Tribolium castaneum: one gene and its partner. The main gene of each other region encodes a partner of the protein of the gene in region 2 in a complex. Links are inferred from orthologs where the notes say so. Each region holds a gene or a part of one and is shown on either strand. Other genes may lie near its edges. The genes, in order: PPP4R2r and serine/threonine-protein phosphatase 4 regulatory subunit 1.

What was found.
Region 1: serine/threonine-protein phosphatase 4 regulatory subunit 1 (region 2) and PPP4R2r share a complex: the UniProt entries of both Homo sapiens proteins name them as parts of the PP4 complex. The link is inferred for Tribolium castaneum from reciprocal best matches to the Homo sapiens genes PPP4R1 and PPP4R2.

Annotation. Positions count from the first base shown.
Region 1 is NC_087402.1:9,726,427-9,730,864, reverse strand, and holds the start of PPP4R2r (serine/threonine-protein phosphatase 4 regulatory subunit 2), read right to left. Parts: upstream 2,904-4,438; 5' UTR 2,761-2,903; coding exon 1,882-2,760; intron 1-1,881. Other genes in the region: uncharacterized protein LOC107397720, read left to right, coding at 3,281-3,556. UniProt on the Homo sapiens protein: Regulatory subunit of serine/threonine-protein phosphatase 4 (PP4). May regulate the activity of PPP4C at centrosomal microtubule organizing centers.
Region 2 is NC_087394.1:36,818,393-36,821,338, reverse strand, and holds the end of serine/threonine-protein phosphatase 4 regulatory subunit 1, read left to right. Parts: coding exon 1-173; intron 174-473; coding exon 474-552; intron 553-741; coding exon 742-1,349; intron 1,350-1,399; coding exon 1,400-1,670; intron 1,671-1,721; coding exon 1,722-1,879; 3' UTR 1,880-2,146; downstream 2,147-2,946. Other genes in the region: selenoprotein F, read left to right, coding at 2,147-2,194, 2,242-2,357, 2,406-2,733; uncharacterized protein C16C10.8, read right to left, coding at 2,765-2,946. UniProt on the Homo sapiens protein: Regulatory subunit of serine/threonine-protein phosphatase 4. May play a role in regulation of cell division in renal glomeruli. The PPP4C-PPP4R1 PP4 complex may play a role in dephosphorylation and regulation of HDAC3.

The DNA of each region.
Region 1 (4,438 bases), on a different chromosome or scaffold from region 2:
TTGCGTTTCTTCGTATATTTTTTTCAAGCAAGTTGACTCAAAAATAGTAAATCATGTAAAACACCATCAATTTTTTTGAAGTATTTTGGATCTTTGCAAAATAAAGGAAACTGGTTCAAAGACGAGCAAAATCTAATAAAATGAGCAAAAAGAATATCTACTACTACACTATAATATAATTTGTTTATTGTTAAGCCAATTGTATGTAAATTATAGTACAATTTTTCGAAAGAAAAAATTATTTCCGTTTTTAAAATACACCTAAATGCTCAAAAAAGGTAAAATAGCACCATAGCATAATCCTGGGTTTGTTCTGAACAAAATTTTATAAAATATTTGCATTTCTGACTCTAAAACATGCTCATACACACAAAAAATACAGAAAGAATATTTCCAGCTTAATTTTTTGGTCTTGTCTAAAGAAAAAAAATACATGAAAAAGTTAAAAAATAACACCATTTCCAAAAAAATGTACCTTTTCAGATTTTTTTCTAAGAAATTTTGCACAAAAACTAATAATGTTATTTTCAATCTAATTTTGTAATTTTGCTGTAATCTCGAAAGGGAATAAAAAAATAACAACACTTTCTAACACATTTTGAGTTTTTTCAAGTGCAACAGTTAAATACCATCAGTTTCTTTGAAGCGTTTTAGATGTTGCAAAATAAAGGAGACAGGTTTAAAGACGAATAAAATCTAATCAAATAAGCTAAAAAACATCTACTAATCTACTACTACACTACAACATAATTTGCCAATTGATACTAATTTTAATATAATTTTTGCAAAATTATTTTCGTTTTTAAAATACGTCTAAATCCTCAAAAAATGTAAAACAGCACAATTTTTAGCGTAATTTGGTGGATTTTGGACTTGTTTTGACCAGAATTTTATTAAATTTGCATTTCAGGCTCTAAAACATGCTCATTCTCACAAGAAAAAAAAACTTGAAAATGGTGAAAAATAACTCCAAAAATGCGCTTTTACATGTTTTTTCCTAAGAAATTTCGGTTTCTTCTTGAGGCGTTTTAGCAAGATTTTGCAAAATAAATAAAACTAAACCAAGCGAGACAATCTAAGCTGCGTATTTTTTAGATATTCTTTCAAAAGGGAAAAAATATTTCGCGTTAAAAATACGTTTAAATGCATAGAAAATGCATAGAATCACCATTTTTAAAAAAAGCTGGCAAATTTTAAGCTTCTTTACAACAAAATTTTACGAAATATTTACATTTCGGACTGTAAAATATGTCCACACGCACAAAAAAGGAAGAAATAATGATATTTCCGACTTTCTTTTTCTTATTTCTTAACTTTCGGTCTTCTCAAGAAAATTTTGTTAATATAGCTTAGTTAATACTTAAAAAATTAAAAAAAATAACACCATTTCCACACAAATTTTGCGTCTTTTAGGGTATTTTACTACGAAATTTTGTTCAAAAATGAGCAAATTAAGTGAAACCATCAATTTTCATTTATTTTTGTATTTTTTTGGCGCGTTTTAACAAGATTTTTCAAAATAAAAGAGGCGAATAGAACGAACAAAATTTTGTAAAATCTTGAAAAACACATTGCATTTTATTCAAAAACGTGCTTGAAAAGCTAAAAATAACAATTTTAAAATCTATTTACGGTTTTTTGACTTTTTTTACGAAATTTCGCTCCTAAACTAACTACATCGAGGGATTTTGTGATTTTAATGGTTTGATAACAGTTTTTTAATTTAGTAATTTTCGAAGAAATTTTGAAATTACGAAATCACAAAACTTGGTGAAATTTTGCGAGGCCTGGCAACACTGTCCTGAGTGTGACGTGACCATTTAGCAATTAATGTTGCCAACTTCAAACACATGGACACTTTGATCAAAACTTGGTACTTACACAAGACTCGGTGATTTCTTCGGTTTCTGACGAAACGACCGGTTCGACACTGTTTCGTCTCTTTTGGACCCCTGCAGGTATGGCAGTGATGGTAACCGAGACATCCGTCTCATCTGGGTCTGATCTGGTGCAAGTATTTGATGGCACAGGTTCAATCGAAACGTAGGGCTCCTCTGAGCTTCGACACGTTATGACAGTGTCTTGAGACGAGCTGCAGGCCACATCTGGTAGCTTAGACGCGGTGACCACCGTTTCTTGTACAATTGGCTGGGTTTGAATGTCATTACTGTTGCTATTCTCATTTTGATATGGAACATTTTCGTTCTGTAGCAATCTAGGCCAAGCTGGCGCATCGTCCATTTCTTCCACGTTGATGTCATTGCTGCTATTGCTAGTTTCCGGCAAATGTTCCGACTCCAACCCGTTCATAATGCCCTCCCCGTTCTCCGTGTTCCTCCTGCCCCCAGGTTCAGTGGTGCTCACAACTAGGATATTCTTCTCCAGGGCCCTCATGTACTTGTCTATCCGATTGTACTCCTTCCTCGGAGTCGTCAACAGCTCGCAAATCCTCTGTAACGTGAAGGGGGCCGCCGCAAACGTGTCCAACTTCTCTAAAATAAAATTCTTCATAAGGTCGTAATTGAAAATGTCCACGTTGGGACAAGGGGGTATCTCGACCGAAGGGCACGTCTCGTAGAACTCCGTTATAACGTTAATCATCTTCTCGCGAAAGAGGCTCTTTATTGCCGACCACTGGTACACAGGGTCCCCTGTTTTCGCCACAAAACAAAGGTACTCCTCCAGTTCGCGCGGTATGTCCTTGGGCTTGGTTTTCGAGAATTCCTCTAAACTGTGGAGTATTTCTTCGGGATTTTCCATTATTGTTATTGTTTTTTTCGCGAAATTTTAGCACCACCGATCACCATCTACTTGCGTCAACAAGCGCACCAATGACAATAACGAAGTTAGCGCCGGTTCAATATCATTCCACTCAAAGTAGGACGTGATCGACGAACTGCGCAACCGCGCGCCTATTTTAAGGACGTGGTCATTTATCAATTTAAACGCGAGACAATTTTATTTGATTTTAAAGTACAGTCATTAAAAATTATAATCAGCAACAGCGCAAAGTCTAACACGTGTGCAAAAACCGGGTGAGCGACACCGAGATTTCGCTAAAAATATTTTCTCTGCGAACACTCGGATTTTTTGTATAACTGGTTGCATACCCTGTGGTTTTTAATTCAAAAATTTTTTTTAATTTGAATTTAAAACACACCTTAATTATTTTATTACGTGGCACCTGGAATTTAACGTTACGAAGTCATACTTTATACTCTTTTTATTACGCGTTGTTAAATATTTACGTAAGAAATAATCGTTATTTTTTTGTAAACAGGTGTCGCCCACCGAGCTTGAAAATCTGCTCCTGGAGATGCCCGGAGTGGCCGATTGTGCTGTTGTGGGTATTCCGGACGCTTTGGCCGGTGAAGTGCCCCGAGCTTTCGTCGTGCGCCAACCCGGGAGCAGCCTGAGTGAAGACGACATCCTACTTTACATAAACCCCAAAGTGGCCCATTACAAAAAAATCGCCGGCGGTGTTAAATTCGTCGAGTCGATCCCAAGGAACCCCAGCGGCAAAATCCTGAGAAACGAACTTAAAATAAACGCTTAAAATTCATAATTGTAAGAGAAAAATACCTTGTAAGTTTTATTTTGTACATAGCTTTAACGTGGCTTATGAATATGATATACTCTGTTTATCTTTTATAATACCGAATTGTTTGTAAATATATTATTTGTTATGTATTTGTATCATTTTGCGCACGTATGAGGATTATTTTCTTTTGTAAGGCAGCCCTATACCCGAGCGTAATCGCTTTAAAAGATTTGTGTTAATTAGAATTTAGAACTCTTACAGATGCAAGCGGGCGACTTTTGCAAAAAGTAACACACTGGCCCAGATATAAAAACGAATCAACGTATTGTTTCATTTTACTCTGCTTGTATGTGTTTATTTAATTATATAATAGTTACAGTAAAGAAAATAGATAAATATTTTCTATGTGGAACTAAAAAGAAACTAGCAACAACAAAATTGTTTACCAGCACACAGCACAAAACAGAAATTATTGTCGGTCCGACAAAAACTTTTACTCCTTTCAACAAGCAATAAAACTTGAAGGGCTTGTAGCGACATGCTATTTAGCAAAAACATAAAATGTAAACATTCAAGCAGTTGTTTTACTTCAAAGTAGCCGATGTTGACTAACTTTTTTTGTGTGAAATTGATAGGCCATTAAATTTAATTTATATACTCTACACCGTATTAGCTCCGACTCATGAGCTTCCGACTCATATTTCTTCCCACTGGAGACTTTTGTGCAAATTTTGTTATTGAAAAAATCTTGGTTCAAGTTCACCCGTTTCGAATGTCGCTGCTTTGTGGTGGAAGGAATAAAATAAAGGTTACACGACCACCTCAATATTTTTCTTTTAAATGGGTGTGGTGTGTGTCTCTTTGAAGATAACGGATGTTATAACGAACTTCCGGATA
Region 2 (2,946 bases):
AAACAACCGTCGAACAAAATCAGGTAATTTTGAATAGTGAGAGTGAAAAAGAAGACGATAACTTACACTTGTACAATTCATACAATTATTGGTATATAAGACCTGAAATGCCATTAGATCTCAGTTTAATCGAGGAGATTCAAATCGATCGAGGTAAAGTGGACGATACAACGGTGAGTAATTCATGCTTCTACTAATAACGTCACGAGTGTGTCATCATAAATTGCATGGCTTTTTTAATAATTAAGTGTAATTTTTAACGCTCGTTAATACCTCATTTTCGTGACGTAACTGTAAGTATTTTCTTGGTAATTTATGATGATACATTTTAGATTTTTTTGTGATGAAATTTAACGACGGTCTTCTGAGACGTACGTGAAGTCACCCAAAACGTTATTCTGAAACTATTTCAATGATGAAAAATACGTTGCGTCAGAGTTTTATTTACTGAAACGTTTTGTTTTTTATTGTAGGCAGGAGATACATTTGCTGAGATTAATTTAAATGAAAATTTGGCCGAAAGTAACAAAAATGATGCCCCAACTGATACAGGTAAGGTTTAGTAAATGTTTACTTACTAGTTACTTAGTATAACTAACTGTTAACTGACCAAAAATGATTAGAACATACAAAACGACAACCGTGAAGATAATTTTGTATAAGGCAGACTATGATTTTTTTGTTTTTTCTTAAATGCACTCGCGAAATGAGGGTCAAATATTGCACGATTTTTTTTTTCAGCTTCGGAGTCGAAGGAGGTTGCGAAAACCGAGCCGGTGCAAGACATTGTTCCTCAAGTGTTGATATCTCATTACTTTTTAATGACGGATTCTTCGTTTTCCTCAAATATAGACAACGAGATGTCGTACCATTGCGCCTATTCACTGCCGGCAATCGCACTAACGTTAGAAAATAAAAATTGGCCACTTTTAAAACGTACCATCGAATTATTGGCTAGTGATATGCATTACAAAGTACGAAGAACTGTAGCGAGTAGTTTACACGAATTAGCGTTTATTTTGGGTCAAGACATCGCATCGGAACATTTAACACCAATTTTCGAAGGCTTTATCAAGGATTTGGACGAAGTCCGAATAGGAATTTTGCGAAATTTGGCCTACTTTTTAAAGATTATTAAACCGGCCAAAAGATTGGCGTGCTTGCCTCGGCTACAGGAGTTTTTAAAAACGGAAACTGAATGGAATTGGCGATTCCGTCACGAGTTGGCTAAGCAGCTCCTGTCTATTGTTACACTCTTCAAACCAGTGGATTCGGCCAAACATATTGGGGTTATTGGGGAAGTTTTGCTATTTGATGTTTCCGCCGTGCGCCAAATTGCGATTTCTTTGGTAGTTATTTTTTAGTTTTAATAGTGGCAGTGTTTAATTTTAAATTACAGATCACCGAATTGTTGAGGCACATTTCATCAAAGCCCGATCTCAGCTCACTTTACCTAGTCAGATTAGTGGAGAAATTTGCTCATTCGAAAAAATGGAAGAGGAGACAAACGTTTGCCCTCCTGTGTTACAAACTTTTATCGGCCAAAGCCTTGCCTGCGGAAAAATTTGCAACCGAAATTATGCCTCATTTGTTGGACTTGAGTTGGGATCCAGTGGCTAATGTGAGATTAGTTGTGGCAAAAACAATCGCACAACATGTTATTCCCAACGGTGAGTGCTTCGAGTGTTGCGTTTTTGTGTGATTTATTTTTTTGGTTTCAGAGTATTTTGCGGATCCCAGTAATCAACATTTCGATAGTTTAGGAACTGTAATAAGGAGGCTCCAAGCCGATAAGGATCGTGATGTGCGTCAGTATGCGGAAATCAGTGATAAATTTGAATCGGTCTCACCTACACTTAGTTTGGATTACATTGACTAAATAAATTACAGTAAAGTTGTTTTGTTTTTATTCTTGGGTTTATGAACTTTGTTGTAATTTTAATTAAATCTTGTGAGCTATATACATTGTAATATTTATCTATAAGTTGTAATATAAGTAAAAACAATAAATTTAAACAATTGTCCTACGTAAAGGTTTTTTCCTACTTACACTTTACCTGACGTAGTTATAGATAATGCGCAAGTGCAGAAAGTTTGAGGTTATGTAATTCCTAACAATTTGATTTATTAGTTGATTCGGTTTAAAATGATGAAAGGTTCAATAATTACGTTAATTCTCACCTCCCTTTGTGCCGTAAGTGCCCTCCCAAGTGTTAATCAAGCCCTAAAAATAACTTTCAGACAAAATGCCTTTCCGAATTCACTACAGAAGACTGTTGGGCCCTCGGCTTCAACAAGGCAAATTTGTTGTGTTCGTCATGTGAGCAGCTCTCTAAATTCAATCTGGACGTGATAAAGTACGCATTTCGTCCCAAATTATCGTTTTTTTTTAATTAGTTTCTTAGGGACCATTGCAAGGAGTGTTGCCACCAGGACGAGTCAGCCACCGTGGAAAAGAAATACGCAAAGGCGGTTCTAGAGGTTTGTACTTGCAAATTTGGGGCGTATCCGCAGATTCAGGCGTTTATTAAAAGTTCCCGGCCTTTGCAATTTCCTAACCTACAAATTAAATACGTAAGGGGGCTTGACCCCATCATTAAATTGTACGACAAGGATGGGACGTTGCAAGAGACCGTTGCTATTGAAAAGTGGAACACTGATTCAGTTGAGGAGTTCTTGAAAACTCACTTACAACAAGACGATGATGATTATTTAAGAACAAATATGATTTAGCTATAATAAAAAACGAGTGATTTGGAATTGTTTATTGCTCATTCGTCACCAGTGAGACAACATCGTCATTTATCACAACATTCGGTAATTTCTTCAATTTTTTGTTGTACTTCTTGACTGTCTTTTCGGTGTGTTCGCACCCTGTTTCCTTCACATATGCGTTGAGAACCTTCTTTTGCAACTTCTTACACGAAATACTGCCTTTTACACTCA